3 linked regions of the Arabidopsis thaliana genome follow. The protein of the gene in region 2 interacts with the protein of the main gene of each other region in a pairwise test. Each region holds a gene or a part of one and is shown on either strand. Other genes may lie near its edges.

Evidence for each region. The genes of interacting proteins can lie anywhere in the genome.
Region 1: the proteins of DSPTP1 (region 2) and AT1G61150 interact in binary tests that used the Arabidopsis thaliana proteins (3 or more experiments, as listed by UniProt).
Region 3: the proteins of DSPTP1 (region 2) and OFP13 interact in binary tests that used the Arabidopsis thaliana proteins (3 or more experiments, as listed by UniProt).

What each region holds. Positions count from the first base shown.
Region 1 is NC_003070.9:22,538,984-22,547,526, reverse strand, and holds AT1G61150 (LisH and RanBPM domains containing protein), read right to left. Parts: upstream 5,031-8,543; 5' UTR 4,854-5,030; exon of another isoform or gene 4,665-4,853; 5' UTR 4,600-4,664; coding exon 4,546-4,599; intron 4,421-4,545; coding exon 4,261-4,420; exon of another isoform or gene 4,224-4,260; coding exon of another isoform or gene 4,160-4,223; coding exon 4,053-4,159; intron 3,954-4,052; coding exon 3,822-3,953; intron 3,691-3,821; coding exon 3,534-3,690; intron 3,294-3,533; coding exon 3,172-3,293; 3' UTR 2,509-3,171; coding exon of another isoform or gene 1,974-2,508; 3' UTR 1,866-1,973; downstream 1-1,865. Other genes in the region: AT1G61160 (retrotransposon gag), read left to right, coding at 1,307-1,335, 1,974-2,508; EDA16 (SNF2 domain-containing protein / helicase domain-containing protein / zinc finger protein-like protein), read left to right, coding at 6,917-7,063, 7,310-7,379, 7,487-7,750, 7,862-8,543.
Region 2 is NC_003074.8:8,475,316-8,482,473, forward strand, and holds DSPTP1 (dual specificity protein phosphatase 1), read left to right. Parts: upstream 1-2,806; 5' UTR 2,807-2,964; coding exon 2,965-2,966; intron 2,967-3,201; coding exon 3,202-3,367; intron 3,368-3,467; coding exon 3,468-3,603; intron 3,604-3,706; coding exon 3,707-3,827; coding exon of another isoform or gene 3,828-3,858; exon of another isoform or gene 3,859-3,938; coding exon 3,939-4,084; coding exon of another isoform or gene 4,085-4,128; exon of another isoform or gene 4,129-4,177; coding exon of another isoform or gene 4,178-4,206; exon of another isoform or gene 4,207-4,220; coding exon 4,221-4,336; 3' UTR 4,337-4,526; downstream 4,527-7,158. Other genes in the region: AT3G23600 (alpha/beta-Hydrolases superfamily protein), read left to right, coding at 25-125, 200-340; AT3G23605 (Ubiquitin-like superfamily protein), read left to right, coding at 1,360-1,818; AT3G23620 (Ribosomal RNA processing Brix domain protein), read left to right, coding at 4,832-4,900, 5,089-5,292, 5,599-5,844, 5,958-6,200, 6,283-6,348, 6,442-6,558. UniProt on the Arabidopsis thaliana protein: Has a dual specificity toward Ser/Thr and Tyr-containing proteins. Dephosphorylates MPK4 in vitro.
Region 3 is NC_003076.8:1,395,908-1,402,649, reverse strand, and holds OFP13 (ovate family protein 13), read right to left. Parts: upstream 3,256-6,742; 5' UTR 2,966-3,255; coding exon 2,183-2,965; 3' UTR 1,866-2,182; downstream 1-1,865. Other genes in the region: AT5G04830 (Nuclear transport factor 2 (NTF2) family protein), read left to right, coding at 19-128, 218-356. UniProt on the Arabidopsis thaliana protein: Transcriptional repressor that regulates multiple aspects of plant growth and development through the regulation of BEL1-LIKE (BLH) and KNOX TALE (KNAT) homeodomain transcription factors.

The DNA.
Region 1 (8,543 bases), on a different chromosome or scaffold from region 2:
AGTATCAAAACTCGAAGAGTTGAGAAACAAAAGGGAATCTTCAGTCTCTATGAAACTATATCATTCTCAATAACGTGAAAAAGAAGAGGACACTCTCTAGTCTCTATGAAACAAAGGGACAGAGCCAGTGGGCCATTTTGTGTTCCTAGGAAATGCAAGCACACATAGTAGAGTAGAGACCTCTTCTACTATCTCCACACGCATAGAATCCACTATTTTCTCTCACTCATAAATACTTACATACAAATCAATCTCAAATACAAAATCACATTTCTCTTTTACCTTTTTTTATCTTTATGGAATGAAAGAACAGGTATGATGCCGAATGATATCAATGAATGCATCACTATATAAGTCTCTGTGTGTGTGTGTGTGACAAAGCTTATGAGACAGTTAAATTAGTGATGATCCAAAAACATGTGTGTGGGTCAGTTTCATTAATACCAATGAGTACGCAAACCCTATGATGTTTCTTGTTTTGGTACCAAAGAAAGTGTTCAAATCAATTAAAAGAACTATTTGGAACACATCTCTATCACATAAAAGATCAAATCTGACGTAACTTAAATTTAGATTTACCTTTTATACAATTATTTAATTTTGTATACCATATAAAACTATTTCGGGAACATATTAATGAACAAGTCAAAAGACTACAAGAGTCAATCTCCATATTAAATTTAAAATTTATTTTAAATTTGGAATTATAATAATAACTTTCTATCTTTGGGACTTTAAAAAAAAAAAAATTTGGGAACAAATTTACAATATTAGAAAAATATAATTGTGAAAATATCATAATTAATCGATTTTGATAATTTACCATATTTTAGAAACTAGAAACCGAAATTGTTACAAAACATTAATATTATGTACCAGTACTATACATACACACACACACACATATATATATATATATATATATATATATATATATATTCTAATTAGATTTTCATAATGATTCAATTTTAACTCAAACTTATTTAATACAAAATACGATACTGTAAATTGGGTATATGAGATATTTATTAGAAATTATGAAAAGAAAATAAAAGCTAATTTATTATAATTAAAATTTATTGTATTTCCATATTTTTTTGATTTGCGAGCGGACATAAAAAAAAAAAATTTTGCCAGCGTATGTCTTAATCAATTATTATATAAGAAAAATGAATCAGGTTAATTTTTTATTTATAGAACATAAATCAATGATATCCCATTTTGGGAGTTAATAAAAGTACATCATTTGGTTAGACTCACTTTAAGAGCTTCATTTCCCATTTTTTTTATTTCTTCATTCTCCACAATGACTAATGGAAGAAGTAATATCAATTTGTAAGTTCCTTAGATATTCTCAATTTTCTATTATCTATTTCACAATATCTATTAATGATTTTGATAAAATATATTAAGAAACTATATTATTTTCAATCTTTTAGCTTTCAGATTAGTTTGTTAGATTTTTTTTTTCTGTAATGATAAAGCATGAAATGAAAATCTTGTAAAGGATCATGATCAAAAGGTCTTTGCTCATTTTATATCAAATTGAATCAATTTTATTTTTGCTTAAAATATTTAAAGTTCAATAAAAATAGGTGAAGATAGATCTTTTTCAGACAAAATAAAATAAGATATAAATCTCTTTTCCACTATTCGACATTACGATTGCTTTATTCTATTTGATCCATTTCGAGTCATCATTTTTATACTCGAGTTTCATATAAATTATGTTTTCGCAAAATTCAGTTTTAATTTTGTTGAATTATAATGATAATTTATACTCCCTCAAATCCATAATATTTGATAATTTGTTAGAATTTTGATGTAAAGTTTTTTATTTAAATATATTAGATTTAGCATAGTCATGATTTTCTAAGATAATAAATTGTTTTTCTAACTGAAAACTATCCTTGTTTTCATATTTTGTAACAAATTATTAAATGTATAAAACTCGATGAATTATTGACCCGCAGGCAGACCAGGTCGATCAAGACATCTGGTGAACCAAAAAACTTTGAGCTCACAGGGGTAGTTGGGGAGGAGGATCAGCCACCCCGAGAAGCTTCTGAGCGCGGAGCCTTCGATGAGTCTAAGCTGGTTGACGTCAACATTGCCTTGAGCTGGGAAGCCTTTGAGGTGAAGCAAGGAACAGAGACAGTGCGTGAGTATTATAACGAGTTCCTTAAGAAGGTCAAGAACCTCGGAAGAGAGTTGGAGGAAGAGCAGCTGGCGTGTCTGTTCCAGGAAGGGCTACGCGAGGAGTTGCAGGAAGGGGTATGTGCAGCGAACTGCGGATGGATCCTTAATTATGTGTCAGATGTAGTTGATGAAGCTGAGAAGGTAGAGGCCAAACTTAGAAGCATCAAGGAAAAGGTGCCGCTCGTGTCTGAGGAGTTTGCAGATGTTGACTGCGGACAAAGCAATTTGGGCCGACCCGCATCCGAAGATGAGGTGGAGAGCAAACCCTCCAAATCCTATGATCCGGAAGACCATATCATGCAAGATTGAGATGGCTAGAGTCAACATAAGGTCTTGAGTCTTGTGGATTATGTTTCCTATTTTATATATCAAAAAGTTGCTATTACTACTTCCCTTTATTTACTTCGTACCATGTCATGCAAGATTCAAAGCTGTGTCAGTACCAAAATAATATTTTGCGAAGAAGAAGAAAAATCAAATGATGTTTCAGTACGGTTCGCAGAGATTCTCCATTTCGACGGTAACAGCACTCAATTCAATAGGTCATGTTGCTTTCTAGGTAAGTAGGAACCGTGCCAAGTTGATTCATTGATTCATGTAACTATACATGGGATGAATAAGCCATCTCTCTTGTTTACAATTCGAACCTTTTGGAACAAAAATATTCCTCAAAACAAACACAAAGATCCAAACAAAGTCGATAACTTCATTCAAATCAAATGCACGTATGCAATGAGTCATCAAATATGTTGATAATAAGAACATTTGACTAGAGTAATTCATTGCCTACAAAAGCTTATGTTCCCCTCCCCATATCCTAACGATTGCGGGTCCAACAAATCCCGATGCAGAAGAAAAGGAAAAGCAGAAAGCATATGAATTGTAAGTTATTGAGATTGACGGGAAGAGAAGAGAGCACCATTCATTGTTCCTTTTTGCTACTGATTTCCAATGGCTGAAAGAAGTACGGAATCATTCTGACGGGTCTTCGAGCTTACCGGTAGACAAATCATTAATGTGCGGATACACTGCTTTCTCGTCCAGTTGAGTTTGAGCCCAAATCAACATCTTCAACAAGCTTGGAAGTTTAGGATCTGTTTGTTCACAAACATTGAGTTGCTACATTAACCATGGAGGAAAATGGAAAGTTTCAAGAAGAACTTGGATGATACATGTTGTGGGTGAAGTAATGAATGAAAAATTTTACTTGTTATGTAGAGAAGAGTTGCATATACTTTGAATCTTAAGATTGATAATGAATGATGCTCGAGATTATAATGGTATTTTGTGGCTACTAAAAGACAACCAGTATAACATCAAAATTCAAAAGCTACCTTTTTCGTGGCTCTGGCTTGTAAGAATCGCTGCATTTACTTCACTTGCTGTCTTAAGACGGTGGGAAAGATCAAGAAGCTCTTTAACCGGGCAGGTAGAGGCATCGTCAAAAACAAGTAGGGCTACAGTTTTTTCCAATTCTTCCAGAAACGCTTGCTGCAGAGAGATATAACAGACTGTATGAATGAAGTTTCAGCAACAACAGATATTACACACAGTCAATGAGCAATACACATGGAAAACACCATCTTTAACGACAGAAATCAAAGTGAAATACAAAGACTTACGTTTTCTTCGCCACGTGGTGCAAGTTCCTCCTGAGCAAACTCTAAGGCCTCTTCTGTCTTCCCTTGTCGAATTAATTCTATCAACCTTTGCTGCTGAAGATGAAAAAAGAGCTCCGGATTCGTGTCTAGTATCTGCAAGCATGGGTTCAAAGAAGAATCAGATTTTGCTTCTTTATTACATCAGAAAAGTGAATGACTACTCTCCACACAAGATATGAAGAAGCATTGTACCTCAGGATTCAAATCATTAACTTTTTCAATCGCATCCTCGACATTTCCGTTTTGAACAGCCTTTTTAACAGCCATTCGATCAGTAATGGTCGCAAGATCTATCTCTGCTGTTTCTCGATAAGGAAGTTCAAAAGGAGTAGATAAGCTAAACATCAAACACACCAATTCCATAAACAAAAACTCAAAACCAGAATCAGAAAAAGGATACGTTTGGTTCCAGACTCCCTTTGGAATTTCTCAGCAGCTTCAACATATCCTTCAGTCACAAGAAAATTCATCACCAAAGTATTCATATCTTCTTTCCTAAGCTTCACAGCATTTAGTTTCTTCTCCCATTCTTCACGTGTGATCATTTTCTTCGAAGTAGCCTGCGACAAGCCACGATTAAAACTAGGTCACACAACGTGCATAAAGATTAAAGTTTTCCAAAAACCCATCATCAAGTTGTATCAAATAACACAAAGAACAGACTCATAAGAGGAGTCAAAATTACCATATCTTCGTCGTCTTCTTCAAGCTGATTGATAAAAATACGAAACAGTGACATTAGAACGCCAGTGAGGCTCTCATATCTTGAAATCTAATCTAATCCACTCAATACGAAATTAATACCTGTTCGAGCAACACTCCGATCAGAGCTATTTCCAAAAGAAATTGACTTTGTGATCAGATAGTGATACAAAGTAATTTAGGGCTTTAGTCAAAATTCAAGCTTTAATCTCAAAACAGCACAGGAGTGGTAGTTCTAAGAAAGAGAGAGTGTGCGACTATTTTCCTCAAAAATTGAATATAACGATGTACCTGGAGAAGTGGAGAATCTGGGGAAGATTATCTGGGAACGATTCTTGCAAATAATCCGGAGATTTGGCGATCGATTTGCTTCTAGATTGCTTGCGAAAGTCTCTTCCCTAAATTTACAATCTGATAAAACAAAAAAAAGTTGGAGGTTTTCGATAGAGAAGAAGAGATCGGGTTTAAATTATTAGGATGTTGACGAACCGTCGATGAATAATCCGGTTTAAATTATTAAGGGAACCGGTTTGTTTTTGGATTTGGTTCTTTATATACCGGATAGTATTATGTAACTCATTTCCAAATGATTTTAATACCCAAAGATTTTTAAACTATTTTACCTTTGAAGAACAAAATTTCGATTTAAAATCATAATTTTTTTTTATTTTTTTTTTTAAATCTTGGAGGTTGTGGGTCAAAGTCCGTAATCCCCCAGGCCTGAAACCACAGCATAAAATATTAGTTTCGTCCCAAGCGTCACTCGAACCGGCGACCTCTAAGCTTTGCATAAGGTCTTTACCAATTGAGCTAACGACACTTGGTTAAAATCATAATTAAATAAGACTGATGTTAAAAATCTCTATATTATTTGGAATTTGATACACAATTTAAAACCAATAACTGATACTCTATTATACTCTATTAAAATCAACTATTAGGTAACAAATATGTGACATAAACATTTTGCAGTCCGATGCAAAATATATCTTTCAATCTCAACAATATGTTTTTTCTTGGTCAACAATCTAACAATATGTTTAATTGCATCTTCAAACTAAAGTCCCAAAACATGTTTTGTTCTTTGCACATGGTTGTTTGTGTGGAACCACAATAAGACAAAGGATCGATTGCAGAATTTGAGGTCTTCTAGCTAGTTGACCGACTAAGAATCAATGGACCACTTATTCTTTAATATTATTTTTCCCAACTGGTTTGGAAGGACTTAGTGAAGAAGTTACACTAAAACTTCTCGAGTCAATCCTCATATGGTTTCTTTTGGCAATTCCTATCTCTGCAAAATCAAAGGCTCTTCATATCAATTAATATGGCAAGCAACTACTTTGAGACATGGCAAGAACGGAATTGTTGATCACATAATAAGCAAGCTCTTTCTCATCAAACTACCTACAAAGTTTTGCGCTCTACAAGATATTTGATCAATCATAAAAATGGTGATCTCGTATAATACTAGTCTTCTTTTAGGGCTAACAAATGATTCAGAAGATTACAAATGTGCTTTGTAGAAATTAGCAATATAGTGCTTTGTAGAATTTTATGACCACAAGATTGGTAAGATCATTTAGTCAAATATATGTTTTATCTCTTCTTATTGATTGAGATGATTATTTTTCTAATGAGTCGATCCACATGTCTAATTCCAATTGATCTTTGTGATTTAGTTTCATATTTGTTTTCTTTAACATATGAAATTTTTTTGTTAGTGTAGAAAATCTAATTTTCACACAATTAAAAATAATTTTTACAATAAATTATGATTAGCAAACACTTCAAAAAAATCTCCATTACTTAAACACTTCAGTTTCCTACTACTAATTAAAGTTGTTTCCTTTTGTTTAAATTGTGATTTTGCTTTAACAATAAAGATGACGGCGCATAAAATATAATTATATATAATCATGCATTATTAAATAATGAAAAAATGGAAAAAAATGAAAGAAAAAGAAAAACAAATGTTCGACCGTTCCTTATTTAAAGCCGGAAGTCCCATAGCCTTGTGGTGTTTACTTTTTCCAATTCGGAGAAAGCCAAAAGAGAGAACAAGGCAATAAAAAGAAGCCACCGTCGCTACAAAAAGTCGCGATTTTTATTTTCTCTATCCCAACTGCTCTCTACCTTTCCTCGAAAATTCCTTCAAAACCCAATTCTCAAGCCTTCTTCTTCGTCGTACCTGAAAATTCTACAATCTCTGGATCTACGCGTCTACTTCTGAATTTCGATTTGGGTTTCCCGGGAGCTGAAATTCCGTGACTTTTGGGTTTTCTGATTTAGGGTTTGTTCCTCTTCTCGTTCTTTCTCGGGTTAGTTTTTTTTTTTTTTTTTTGTGATTTTTGATGGGTGAGGAAGGTTCAATGTTTGGTCTGGGAGGTGAATTTCCGGTTGATGATTGTGATGGTGGTTTTGAGTTTGAAGATGATGACGAGACTATTGACATCGAAACGCTTTATCGGATTCTAGATGAGAAGCCTGATTCTGCTGAGGTAGTTTTCTCGGCTTTTGTGGTAGCTTGAGAATTTTGATTACACGCTTCTCTAACTTCAATTTCATCGTTTTGATTTAGCTGAATTTCATTGCATTATTTGAATGCTGCTACAAAGATGTTTGGATTTGTATTTTGTTATAAAGTTTATGTATGTGTGATTTCACAATTCTGTAGCTACACTAATCTCTAATTGACTATTTTTTTCGATAGAGAAGAAACTAACATTGAGAGTGACTACTTTTAGGGTAGCCAAGAAAACTTATCACCAGTTGGTTCATCTGCTGACGAGCTCAAGGATTCACAGTTGCTAAATGGTTAGTAGTTGTTGGAAAGGGTGCCTTGTTACATAGTCATTTAGTATTTATTGAGCTGTTTGAGGTACATCGTATTAACATCGCTTGGATTTTTTTTGTTGTGCCAGGTTCATTTGATGAACATGTGAAAATGGAAGCCGGGCTGAGTCCTTCACCTGCTCATACTTGCTCTGCAAGTCTTAAAGATTGGTTTTCGTTAAGTCAGGGTGAGCAGCCTGTGGAAACATGTGGAGTATCTCAATCTGAGATGACTAGTTGTAGTATATCGTCTAGTTTCTCTGATCCTGATGGCAATATGATGGCCTTCAATCCTGTGAATTGTGACGTTGACACTGTTTCCAAGCAGGATGATAAGATAATCGATTCCAAATGTATGCACCTTATCTACTAAATGTCAGGTTATTTTTTTTTTTAAAAGTTTGACACTAATCTATCTGTTGCTAATTTCCATATTCCTCATTTTTTGTTACATCAAATTGCAGCTATGTTGACTCCATATTTTGACAACGTGACTGGATACGGAGTGGGGTTGGGAGCCAATCATAATTCGTCTGCCATGTCTGTTTTTTTTAATAATTCCAATTCCCTCAGTGACAGTGCGGATAACTATGTCTCTTCTGCACAAGATTGCTACAATACAAGTGGTACATCCTTGTCAGACCATACCCCCAATTCTGTTCAGAATTTCGCGTTTGAGTTCTTTCCTAATAAAGAAGAAGCTGTAAATGATGTTGAGAGTGGAGTAAGTGAGTCTCAGTCGGATGGTGCCAGCCGGATGATTTTTGATAGACATGGAAGAGTGGATAATGGATCTTTAGAAAGGAAACCTCCTATTGATTTTTCTAGTGCAAGAGGGATCAGTTTCAAGTTTGAAAGTAATCCTTCAGTTTCTCCTGCCTGTGTCAAACCCTACAACAGTTTTGACAGTCATTTAGCTGATAGTGACCTTGACCGGCCTAATAATTATTCATGCAGTTTTCAGGATAATAAAACTGTTCATGTGAAGGTTAAACCAGAGGCTGAATCAGAGAAAGTTGTCTACAGTTCAGTTCCAGGGGAATTTAGTGTCAGGGATGATGCTTATCTTTCTGGAGAAACCAATCGTTGGTGGTCTGGTGCATCAAGCTCTGCAGTCTCCTATCAAACAGATATTGAAAAAGGATA
Region 2 (7,158 bases):
ATCAATTTCACGGGTTTATTGCAGGTGGGAAGGCTCCAATTGCTATATTAGGAGCTGAAATTGATCAAATGTCCCCACCAGCACTCTTGAAGCAATTTGAGGAGATTCTATCTTCCAAACCCGAGGTAAGCTGCTTTATCACCGCAACTCAACAGTGTAATTTAATCACCTTTATCTAACTTTAAAACGGATCCTGTAGGTGAATAGTTACGTGAAGATACACCCGAAAGTGTCACACGGATGGACAGTTAGATACAACATCGATGAACCAGAGGCGGTTAAAGCAGCAGAAGAAGCTCACAAGGAGATGCTTGATTGGTTTGTGACCTACATCAAATGATTTGAGAAAGAAAGAAAGGTATTGTCTATTACTTCATATATGCAAAGAATAAAAATTAAAGAGAGACAAAGCAAAACTCTTGGTTGGTGTTTCAATTTCTACTTTCTATAGTCTTTTGAAGCATTCTCTGAGATTCTGTGATACCTTTTGTTAATCATTGTTTTATGATTTTTATATGTTGACGATACGTTACCCTTCTCATCATCTTCTTGTGGTAAGCAAAAAAAGTTACCAAAACAAACTTTGATTGAAATCAATGTCTTCTTCGACTAAAGAAGTAAAAAAGATATTGTACATATATACAGAAATAATCAATTCTTCTTCTTCTTGATGAATTTGATAGTCAAAACGCAAAATTATTGATTGTTGAGACTTGAGACCTTGAGTAATTTTTTTTTTTTTGGGTCAAATGAGAGTAATTTATAAGAGTCAAAATCATTACATGAAAATGATTTAAGAGAGTTTGTCCACACACAAAAACCTAAAAAAAAGAAAACTAGTAATTGACAAAATTATACGATAAATTTATTGTATAAGAAATTGATCCATATATTATTTATATTGTTGCTTAAAAATCGTGCAAAAATGTGGACAGAAAAAAAAAACTTGCCAAAACAAGAAGATATTGCTCAAGAAAGTCACTAGGTTCTTTAGAGAAATCAAATAAAATCTCAATTCATAATCAATGTAGATTTCTCATAATTAAATTTGTATTACAAACTTACAATTATCAAAAACAAAATCTGTAATTACACAAAAAAAAAAAAGGAAAATAGAAACAAAAAAAAATCCGCAGAATATCTCCAAAAATCAATTCTACTAACACAAAAACAATAATACTAATAAATCTATTTTTCTATTTTCAAGGAAAAGGAAACAAACCTTTATAGCTCCTCTCTATCGTCTCGTCTCTATAAATAAACGAGAAGCTCACAAATTCCACAAAAATCCACTCTAACTATGAAACAATTAGGGTTTTGAAATTTACCTAAATCTCTCCGTAATCATCGATCAAAACGATGCTCGAGTGTCAATCAATGATGGAGAAATTATCACCGTTCGTAGACGTCGCCTCTCTGGAAATCGAGTCTCTGCGAAGAATCAAACGCCCGAAACGCTTCTCTGAAGAAGAATCAGAAGAAACCGAGAATACGACGAATTCATCAAACGCGGTATTCGGATTCCCTAACTTACCAGAAGAACCGAATCGCGATATGGATCAAAGCGTTTTGTGCAGAATCTGCGTTCGATTACCAGATGGGAGAAGAATACAGAGAAGTTTCTTAAAGAGTGAATCTGTTCAGCTTCTTTGGTCGTTTTGTTATTCGCAGATTGGTGATGAATCTTCTGAGAGAAAGCGGCGTTTTAAATTGATTCAAGGGTTTCCTGGGGATTATAAGAATCTTTATTTTGGATCTAATACTACTTTTGAACAATCTGGGCTTGCTAATTCCTTGGTTTCTGTTACTTGGCTCTGAAGAATCTTCTTTCGATCTGTAATTAGAAAAATAATTTCTTTCTTCTACCAAGTTTATGTTTACTCAATTTCTCGAATTTGTACTTGGAAATTGCAAATTTCATTTGGTTTTCTTGAATCGTTGTTAGATATTTCCGATCAAATCGTTTTTAGATAACACTGTTTCAAAGTCAATGTCGTCATCATCATACAAGAAGAACGTATAGTTTTTGGTTTATCTTTTTGTTGCTTCTTAAGTCACTCTTTCTCGCATAGTTTTTGAGGTGACGAAGTTACGTATACGGTGACGTAGCAAACCAAGCCCATAAGCCCAAATTCTAAACAAGCCTAAGACAAGTGAGCAAGGAGTGGGTAAACCAAACCATACCAAAATGAAACCGACAAACTCGTCGATATGTGCCAGGACCGGGCTTAGAGGGTGTGCTGAGGGTACATTTGTACATTGTCCATTACTTTTTAGTCAGATTTCTTAAAGCAATTAGGGTCCTATTTCTAAACAAGCCTAAGACAGCATCAAGTGAGCAAGGAAGTACTTCATGTTCATGCACAATTTCTAGGAATGGGAAAGACCGTACCAAAATGGAAACCGAGAAACTCGTCGAGACCGGCTTTGATTAGATAGTCTATCGAAGTAAAATATCGAACTTCGATGGACTATATTGAAGTAGATTTGTGCTCTACTGCCCTCGAAAAAAACATTAAAGTAGATTACTACTACGTCATAATAACAAACAGTCTTTAACAACAACATCATCATCACTCGATACATCTCTGCCTCTGTACAGTTTTGCTGACATATTCACAACACCGTTGCCTCAGTTTCAGCCAAGTACACTACTTCTTACTAATCCAGGGGGCCTAATAGCAGGAAACCAAGCCTACAAAGCACAAATCCCAAACACAAATTTTTGAGTATAATATAAGGACTGAGCTAATAAGTTAAAACATTTCTGATTTTTCTGATAGAAAGGAAATTTTACTATTTGGCCCTCTTTGAACACATCCTTCCCTCTCCTCCTCCTCCTTCCCCCAAAAAACCTGGAGAACCATGCAGTTGCAATTTCCTCTTTAACCCATTTCAAAGATTCGTTTTTTTTTTTTTGTAAATCTCTTTCTCCTTTGGCGAATTCGTATTCCTTCTTTTCCAATGTAAGTTCTTCTTCCTTGATAATCGAATTCTTCTTTTGATCTTAAACCAATCACTACTCCGTCGTTGTAATCGTAATTCTCGATTCACCGTTGTTCGGTTATAAGATCATTCATCAGAATCGGATTCCATTATTTCGGTGACCTGGATTTTGATTTTGATTTTGATTCTTGCTGCTATGATCACGATCTTGATATGTAAACTCTCTTCTTCTTTTTTCTGATTCGATGAAATCAGGAGTTCTAGAGACAGAGGATCACCTTCTTCTTCTTCGTCATCTTCTTCGTTACCAGGAATAGAAAAGTATAATGAAAAGGTGAAGAATCAGATACAAGCTCTTGTTCGTGTTATTAAAGTTGCTCGTACCTATAGAGACGACAATGTCCCTTCCCTTATTGAACAGGTTACTACTACTACTAATACTCATAGGTTTTTTCTACCAACCAAATGACCAATGATTCATTATCAAAGATCAAACCTTTTGTTGAATTTGACTTTTTCAGGGTCTTTATCTTGGATCTGTTGCAGCAGCTAGTAATAAGAATGTTTTGAAATCTTACAATGTTACACATATTTTGACTGTTGCTAGTTCGTTGAGACCAGCTCATCCTGATGACTTTGTTTACAAGGTTGTTCGAGGTATAAACTTATTAAAGGTTTCACTTTGTTATCTAGTTGAAGAGAGAATATGTTTTTGATTTTGGGATGGAATTGCTTGTTTGATTGTTTTTCTATGTGATAGTCGTGGATAAGGAAGATACAAATCTAGAAATGTACTTCGATGAGTGTGTTGATTTCATTGATGAAGCCAAGAGACAAGGCGGTAGTGTTCTTGTTCATTGCTTTGTTGGCAAATCACGGAGGTCAGTTTTGTTTGCTTCCTTCAATATCTAGCGGTTTTCGCCTTGTTTGCTGGATAGTATTCAAAACTAAGTACATATTTAGCCTGGATGGTTTGTCCCTTTTACTTGCAGTGTCACTATAGTTGTTGCTTACCTCATGAAGAAACACGGTATGACTTTAGCTCAAGCATTGCAACATGTTAAAAGCAAAAGACCCGTGGCAAGTCCTAATGCTGGTTTCATCAGACAATTACAAGACCTCGAGAAGTCTATGCAAGGTATGCCTTACTATAATATCTTGAGGTCTAGACTATTAGGTTGAGATCTCTGTGGTGAATCTAAGTTGGAGATACTTTGTCTGTCTGATTCAGTAGTGAGTGACCAGTTTTTTTCCTTTTGAGGATGAAAAGCAAGTGGTTGTGGAGGAGAAGACAGTTCCATGTAAATATCTCTTACATGCATCTTCCTTCTTCTCTATAAAACAGGGAAGCAAGTTACGATTGCACAATGTCAGGCGTGAAGATCATTGATCGTACCATTGGGAGAAACTTGTAAATCTCACACGAAGCATCAATCAAAATGTTTTGTTGTTTCTTCTCCTTAACAACTCGAATAATAACATGGAAACGAATTTGGAATATGTTCATGTTCTCTATTCGTTTTGTATAGTTTCATCATCATGGATATAAAAGTGAACATAAATAAAAATTTGTAAATTTTTTGTACCGCAATGAAATGTCTTTTTTGTGTGTAAAAGTTCATGGGCTGTCATTGTTTAATTTGAGCCCGTATAGTTTAAACAGTTCATGGACCTTGTGAAACATTGGGTTTTATAGTCAATAAAAAACTGTGGGGTGATTTAGGACAGACTTATAAGGTTAGGGGTCATATTAGAATTCTCTTAAAGTTGCTTCCAATTGTGAGGAGGCACTAAAACCCTAGACTCCATATCAATCAATCGAAAAACCTTTCTCTCTTCTTTCGGAGCCGTCGCTTGTGAAACTTTCCGGCGATTTAACAGAGTCATGATGGAAATACGAACTCCGAAGACTGGCAAAGCCAAGCGTGTTCTCGAAAGCCGAGCTCCTAAGTTGGTAAAGTTCTCTTCTTTTTCTCCTTCGTCCTTCTTAAAACCGAGAAGTGAATCATGTTGAGAGCTGTCTTCAATGTTGTTTTGACATCTATGAGACTCATGGGTTTTCTATTTGTCGATAAATTTATCAAAGAATCGATTGAAAGTTGCAAACTTTGTATCTGAATTGGTTGTTTTTGGAATTTGTAGGTTGAAACTGGGAAGAAGACGTTGATACTTCATGGAACAAAGACGAGTGCTACACTTAGCTCTGTAATGACGGAACTCTACCGTTTGAAGAAGGGAGGTGCCATCAGATATTCAAGGAGGAATGAGAATATTAGGCCTTTCGAGAGTGGAGGTGAAACTTCATTAGAGTTCTTCTCTCAGAAAACAGATTGTAGCATTTTTGTGGTAAGTTCATAAGCTTTGGCAGCTGTTGCATCTTGGTTTTATGGTGTTGCAACTTTGATTCTCCTCTTAACTTAGCTATGAACTGCTAGATAGAACAAAATGTTATTAAGATGATCTATCCTGTGATCTAGATTCATTCTAAGGCATCTCTGCTTCTGTCTTGTTAGTCTATGTGTATTTATTTATGGTGGAAATTGGTATGATTGGCTGATGTTATCACAGGCCTTAAGAAGTCATTTGGAAAGGTGTATTGGCAAATTAACTTTGATGCGAGTTCTAACATTGGTGATTGTTTTTATATTGCAGTATGGTTCTCACACGAAGAAACGACCTGACAATCTTGTACTTGGGAGAATGTATGATCACCAAGTCTATGATCTTATAGAAGTTGGGATTGAGAACTTTAAATCCTTGCGGGCGTTTTCGTATGACAAGAAATTCGCACCTCATGAAGGAACAAAGCCTTTCATTTGCTTTATTGGTGAAGGTTTTGAGAATGTATCAGAGCTTAAGCATCTCAAAGAAGTCCTCACTGATCTTTTTCGTGGCGAGGTGAAGTGTTTGATTCTTATGACCTACTTTTGCAGCTAATTCCATAACCAGTTTCAATTTTATTCTGATTCTATATGGATTTGGCTTATAACAGAATTTGTATATGTCTGCAGGTTGTGGATAATCTAAATCTTACTGGTTTAGACCGCGCTTACGTATGTTCAGCTATATCCCCAACAAAGGTTTTCCTTACTCATTGCGCATTGAAGCTTAAAAAGTCAGGATCCATTGTTCCGAGAATGGAGCTTGTTGAAGTCGGTCCATCCATGGACTTGGTTATCAGGCGTAATCGTCTTCCTAACGATAGCTTAATGAAAGAAGCAATGAGAACATCCAAGGATAAGCCTAAGAAGAAGGTACTAAACAACATAAAAGTCTAATATTTCTCTTAAAATCGAAAGAGACAGATGACTAATCAATCAATCTCTTCTTCTACAGGAGAAAAACGTTGATCAAGATGCAGTACTAGGGAAGACTGGGAAGATTTATATGCCTGATCAGAAGGTAAGAAAGAAAGCGATAAACGCCAATATCCGAATCTGGAGATTATTATTTTTATTATCATCCCAAACTGATATGTTTTCGATCTTTGTGCAGCTGAAAGAAATGAAACTGTTCGATAAATCTAAGGGATCGAAGAGAGAGCGGAAAGACGCTAAGCTTAAGCATAAGGAAGAGACTGTTGCCAAAAAGATGAAGGTGTCTTCTGAGTGACTCAACAGACCACTCTTGGCTCTGCATCAACAGCTTTCAATATGTGGAAGATGAAATGATTTTGTAGTGTAATGAGCTTGACTTTTATTTTTCCATTAGAATCTATAACTGAATGTTTTCTATACGCTAATATTTTATTAAGGTGATTTTGTTTTGTTAAAACTCTGCAGCAACAGAAACTGGATATGATAAAAACACATTTTTGTCTATCTCTGTTTCCTACTGCAGTACATGCGTAAGACAGCAACTTTTTTCCCGTGTTGAATGAGACCACAATTTTTGCCTGTATCACTGTCTTACCAACAACTTTTTTACCTCTTTTAACTACCATCTCTTAGTGATATCTTACTTATGAAAATGAAGCTGACCATGATGATTATTTCGTGTATTTTTTTACCTACCAACTTTTAAATGATAATGACTGATACATGTTGAGTTTACAAACCTAATTATTAAGCTTTTATACAGTTAGCTGTCTTAATCTTTCAACACTAGGCTTATACCTTATCTATAATTGAAACCTACCCCTATGGACTCTTCTTCATCATTATTCTTTATGGTTTTTATTTACTATATGTTCCAAACCAAACCATAGGAAAC
Region 3 (6,742 bases), on a different chromosome or scaffold from region 2:
AACTTGTGGGAAAAACAGATACTAATTGACAACAAACAACACTACAAGATCATGGGAAGGAACATAGATATGATCTCTCTCATTAAGCTCTATGTCGAGGACGGGAAGATCGTTCGACATGAAGACTGGTAATAACCCTGCAGCTAACCTTTCTCATAAACGCTGACTTTTTGTATTAGTTCATTGCCTTAACTTGTTGGTGAATGGTGTGTATAAGGTGGGACAAGAAACCTCTGAGGAACAGAGACACGGTTAGCTTTCCATTAGTCGGACGGGTAATGGAGATGGGTCGAAGAGGCTTGATGCTAGCGACTCATGCCATGATGGGTTTTGGTAAAGATCCTGACTCCCAATGAACAAATGGAAAATACAAAACACACATCATGTTATAGTGTTCAGTTTCTTCAAAACACTACTTGAATTTAAGAAACTCCTTTAATCGATTTGGTTTCGAATTTAGTTTAAAAATATGTAATACAGTATGTTAATCGTCTGTTGGTTTTTAGTCTGGTACGATACAGTCAATAACTGAATTTGAATGGAAAATTCTTGTAGTTGAACAAACTTGAACCATACTGATTTTGGTTAGCTTTTGGGTTTGAATTATCCTAAATCAAAATAAACCGACGTGGGGCCGGATCGAAGAACCTCCCTCAAATGGGCCTTCACTGTCAAATCTAAAGTATCCATTTACTTTTGGTCTCGTGCTTGACGTAATGTATTTAGATATTAGATTTTGTGCATGTACTGTGTTTGGGCCCCTGTTATATACTTGTAGAAGACGAAAAATGACTCTGGTTTTTGTAAGTACCGTAGAAACAAAGAAAACAAGCTGTGTAAAAGTAACTGTTAGACGCTATGTTTGTGACAGACACAGTTCTGTGTTTTTATTTGTTACAAATATTTGGCTATAGTTTTTCTGTACTCTTGAAAAACTCCAAATTGTATACTATCTCGTATATATTTGAGGACCAGCCCTATGTTATATGTGTTTCCTATAGAAAAATCAATTTTGTGAAATTGAGGAGGAATGAGAACATGCATAGCTCTAAAATTATGAAAAGAAAGGAAACAAAACAAAACAAACAAAACAAAAACAAATAAACGTCGTCGTCTAGGTTGGTCCCAAAATTAAATGTAGAGTAATAAATGAAAAGAGATAAGAGAGAAGTGAGTAGGTCTATGATGTTGGGATTCACAGGGCCTGTGTGTGTGTGACCACTGACCACAGCACCATTGCTCATCTCATGTTACTCCATTCACTTCACAATACAAAATACAAATTACAAATCTCTTTTGTAACATTTCAATTCAAACGTTACTATAGACCAACATTCTCTTTTAATGCACCCTCGTAAATACACTATCCTTTTCTGTATTTTTAAAACTTGAATCTCATAAGTTCATGACAATTACATTTATACATACACTACGGGTGTTTCTATTACGCTTATTTTCAAGATTTTAACTCCAGCATGGATATCACAAAAAGGGTTTTGCTAAATATCTTACGTGATGATGCTTTTAAGAGTCAAATCAATAAATAAAATCTCTATGTTATTAATGTTAATACATGAATTATCCGAGCATGATATTTAATGAGTCTTACAGTTTATGTTAGTGTAGTAGTCCTTGTGTAACCATCGAAAATTCGTAATACCAAATTTTATTTGGGGAAAAAAAATGTAAGGTCCAATATTTGTGACAAAAAAATTTTTAATATGGATGCCAAAGGAGCTACATGCCTACATCTAATGAGAAAGGCTATATAATATGCCTGCAAAAAAAATGAGAAATTATAATTCTATGTCCTTTAAAACCTAAAAAAGAAGTAAAAAATAAAGAGCTTAAATAAAAAGAAGTATCACAGAATTTATTCTTATGTATATTTCCTTTTAAAATGGGGCTGTTATACAAAATTTCTCTGAATCTGTTGGCATAAACTTCGCTGAGTTTCATGAATTTTGGGGGAAAAATAGTGTAACTTTCGAGTTATGACAAAAGGCACTGTTATACACATAAATCAACAATAATGGCTCTAAAAATATTTTTGATATATATTTAATGGTTCTTTTTCCTCTAACCACTAATTACTTTTTACAAAATCCAAAAAGGGTTAATTAATCTAAACAAAACCGGAGATTAAAAAATTTAAAACCGAATCTTAAGCCTTTTTTTATTTTTAACAGCTCCGTCTCTCTTCCTCTTGAATCTCCGTCTGACCTTGAGATAACGAATAAACCGGCGACGACGGCAAAGACGAAACGGCGGTTGAATAACGAGCCGAATCCGATACCGAAGCCGACGTTATTCCGGCGCCGGAATCAGAGAGTCCAGAGAGAAGATCAACAAAAGCACTGACGATAACGCCGTGACTCTTCCTCCCATTCATCCTCAAATACCAAGCGAGCATCGATTCCAAGCTCTCCCAATCTTTAGCCAACTCACCGTGACTCGTCACCATCTCCTCCATCGATCGCCGGAAATCACCGTACGGATCCTCGGATTCCATCGCCACCGCGACACTAATCTCCTCAATCGGCGTACTCCGATCTTCTCCCACCGCAACCGTTTCCTTCGATTTCAAATCCGATTTCGATTTCTCTTCAATCTCTTCCAGAATCGAACTCGTAACTCCTGGATCGAAGAATAACCGCTCCGATCTAACAACGCCACGAACCACCATCTCTAAGGACTCAGCGTCAAGGTCTTGATCCGACTCGGTTGAGTGACTCGCTGTCTCGGACGAGTTAGTAAACCATGACTCAGGCGTCTCCGCTTCCAACAAATCTCCTCCATTGTTGTTGTTGTGGTGGTGGTCGAAGAAAACAGAGTTCACCGTCTTGATCATGTCGTCGCCGACTCGGAACGAAAGAGTTTTGGCATTGTAACAGAGAGGAACCGCTAGTAATCCTCCGGCTCCGCCTTTGAACAGAGAAGAGAGTTTCATCTTCTTCTTCCCCATTGATACCACCAATTGTTTTTTTCTTTGTGAAGATCTTTGGTTGGGTTTGGGTTTAGTAATTAATGGAAGAGGAAGGAGTTGGAGGGAATGCGATATATGGGGAGAGAAGAGAGAGCTGGTGGGGTCAGGTCATGTGTCTATTTAATTTTGGGATATTTTTCTATTTGTTGTTAATTTTCCATTTTTTTCTGGTTAGTTATTTGAAGTGCTTTTACTTATTTAGTCTAAAGTCTTAACTATAAAAATTACGATGATTGAAGTTGATAGTTTGTTTTTGTTTTGCTTTGTGGTTAGCTTTTTCGATTCGTTTTCTGTTCAACCGGGATTTCAATAGTTTTTTCCAATATTTGATTTGCTACAATCCAAATTTTTAATATTGGTTTTTTCTACACTATTCGATCTAATAATTGATCAATTTTACAAAAATGTTTTTATAATGGAGATATATTATTTTTACAAATAGTTTATTGCTACATTTTACAATAATGTTTTTGTCGTTGTGATTTTATTGATATACACATGAGTGGAAGAATTATGTTTTTTACAAATATTTTGCTGTTTTGAAAAATTGACAATCTTCTTGTGTGACGAAAACACTTATCCTCATGCAGTTTACATATTATTAGCTCCATGGGTTGTTATTGCCTTGTTGGAGAGGTTGAATTTGTATTTTTTAACTAACAAAAGTTTCATGCAAACACGATATAATGGCTCTATGGGAATTTGAATTTTTATTTTGTCTTTGTTATCTAAATTTAAGATGATAATATTATACTCATGAACAAGTATAGTAAGACACAGCAGTAGCATTCAATTTGGTTGAAGACAAGAAAAATTAAATATTTTAATTAAAATAAAATAAAATAATACTAGAAAAAATGTTAGTCCCGAGCCAATGACAAAGCACTGTGCAGAACACAAAGCATTAAAAACGATTGCTTACAAGAAAATGTTGCAGAAAAACAAATCCCAATAAACATTTAGTAATTTTATATACTACTACTACTTTATAAAGGTTGATTGACGGTACTACATTCTTGTCTATTGGCTCGTCTTGTCAAATCTTCTTCTCATTTTTAATTACTCTCTCTTTACGACTTTAATAGTGTTTTACATCTTAATTAATTTGTTTAATTTTTTTAAAACTGATGTATAAGCTATTTTGTATTATATAATCCATAAACGAACACGTAAAAATCGTACTGATGCAGTCAGTTTTGACTTTCCTATAAGCACTGTGAGCTTCTAATACTCTCGGTCAACGTGTTATCTATAAATTACGTATGTGTAAATTATATGAAGCTTTGAGCTTAAAGAATGTTTCTTCTTGGTCGCAATACAAATTTCTAAAAGTAAGAATTGTAATTCAACTGAATAATTAAACTCGATGAACATCAGTTTCTTGAATATATATTTAAAAATAATTTATTTCGTTTAATTTTTTTTGAGGAATTGAAGTCTTATATTCGAAGAAGGACTATGTTATATGTATGTTTTTAATTAATGATGAATTTCTTGGACGATTTTCTTTACTAAGGTAAAATATATGATCCATCAAGGTAGAACAAGAATGTAGGGGATAGATCCTGAGACAGTGTCCTTTAGGAATCAGTCAATATTATAGAGTTTATCAGAGATATAAAACTGAAAGTAGTAAAAGATTTAAACAGAAGCAATCTGATGTTGAAACCCATTGTTGTGAAATAAATGCATCATTATTTTCGTACATTTTCAACTTTATTTACCCAACACCTCCATATCTTTCTCTTTTGCAAAAATTTCCTGTTTTGCCTTAATTTGCGTAAGATATTGGATCAACGTTTGTGGGATAAATATGGGAACATAGAATAAGAAAAAGAGAGAGAAAGATTGTGTGCAAAACTCATGTGAGGAATTAAAGAGGGCACCGTTGAATCACGCATATATTAACTGTGGATTTCCATCTTCTACTACTAGATCTTTAGTTAGGGGACCAAATTTACAAAAGTACAGTATATTCCTCTCTATGGTTTAAATTTTTAAATACATTAGACTATATATAAATTACATTTTTTCATTTACAGTACTTTGAATACTCTACAGTGTTCATGATAGACTATTCAACTTGTAACGTGTTTGCAAATGAAGATGTCTAAAAATAAAGTTTATAACATGCAATATTTGGAATACTCTACAGTGTTCCTACATCTTTTTAATTTTATGTTCAAATACGACATTTTTGCCATATTATCCTTTTAAATTTGCTCCCTATTTATACAGTTGATTAACAAAAAGTTATTTGAATACTCTTACTTGGTTTTATGAAACTGTTCACAATTTCAACAATTCAACGAAAACCGAAATTATAATACATGAACATCTTGGACATGCCTCTTTTATCCCCTTGCTAAAGACCGACATTAGTATAATTATTCTACTTGAGTTTTAACTGTGTAAGAAATAATAAATGCCAAGCACAGTTGTAAGAAATCTTAGAAGTAACTTCTCAACAACTTCCACGGTGATTTAAACTTTTTTTGTTTTTTATCCATTACTAAATAAAGTATTTTAAGAAATTTACCTCAAATATTTTTGATGTTGATATTTACTAACTTTTAAGTTGGTAGATTTGATAAATGGTCAATATTGTGCTTAGAATTTGTTTACATTTTGTTTAGCTTCAGTATTTATTTGCATTATCATTAGTAGCTAGAGAACTCAAGATAAATGCATTTTGTTTCGTGGAAGTGTCCAAGGTTTTATGAGAAAAATGCTACCTTTTTCAAGCTTCGAAACATGAGATTGTATTGATGTTTATTTTTCTTTCAAGACATAGTAATTGACCTAAAGCTTTTCGGGCAGGGTTCACTTGTTCGTAGAATAGATCGATGCTTTCCGAACCCACTAAACTTTAGACGACATCATCCCGATTCACTGGAATATCCCCTATGATTTATTTGGTTCTGTGATTTTTTAAAAAATCACTTACAAACAATCTTGTTTTAAATGATTGTTGATTTAAGAAGAAAACCTACATAAAAACTAAAAGAAAATATAAATTTGATAAAAGTCATAATTATATTTACTAATGGTTTGCTATATATGATAGAGGAGTAACAAATCTCAGCACTTTGGTAACATAAAACCTACAAAAGAGATACGAATATTGTGCTCGTGCGACCAAGTGATACGTATGTCGGACTTTGTACCATTTGGTACTAATCATAGAGACATACTAAAATGTTTTCTTTTTATTAAAACATAATTCTTCTCTAAAGTATCCAAACACATAAGTCTTTCTTCTACTAATTACTATCTTCTCCATCAGCACAGAAAATTAAAGGATTGAGCTAAACCAGTTAATAGATAGAATCATTAGTGTGGGTTGGTACAAAAAGGTTATAATTAGTTTGGTTGGTTAAAAGTTTTCATTATATGACTGTTCGGATACTAATATACTATAGTATATCTTATTATACCTATTATCAAACAACTCATATGATTCTACGGAGTTTACTAATTAAAAACTAAAATTTTGTTGAATAATCATCGAGCTTACTATTATAAAAGATAGGAATAATATTTGAAAAAAAAAAAGAACAAGGAAAAGTACAATCATCAAGTGTTAGTTGATTTAAAAATATGATTATCAAGATTGCATGAAAAGAGCATTACTCGAAATCATCGAGCAACAGGCAAAGCCAGCAATGCATGGAACAACATGTACCCCGTTGACCCTCATGATTACTTATTTAGCTTTGTAGTAATTAGCAACTAGTCTTCTATAATACCACCCTA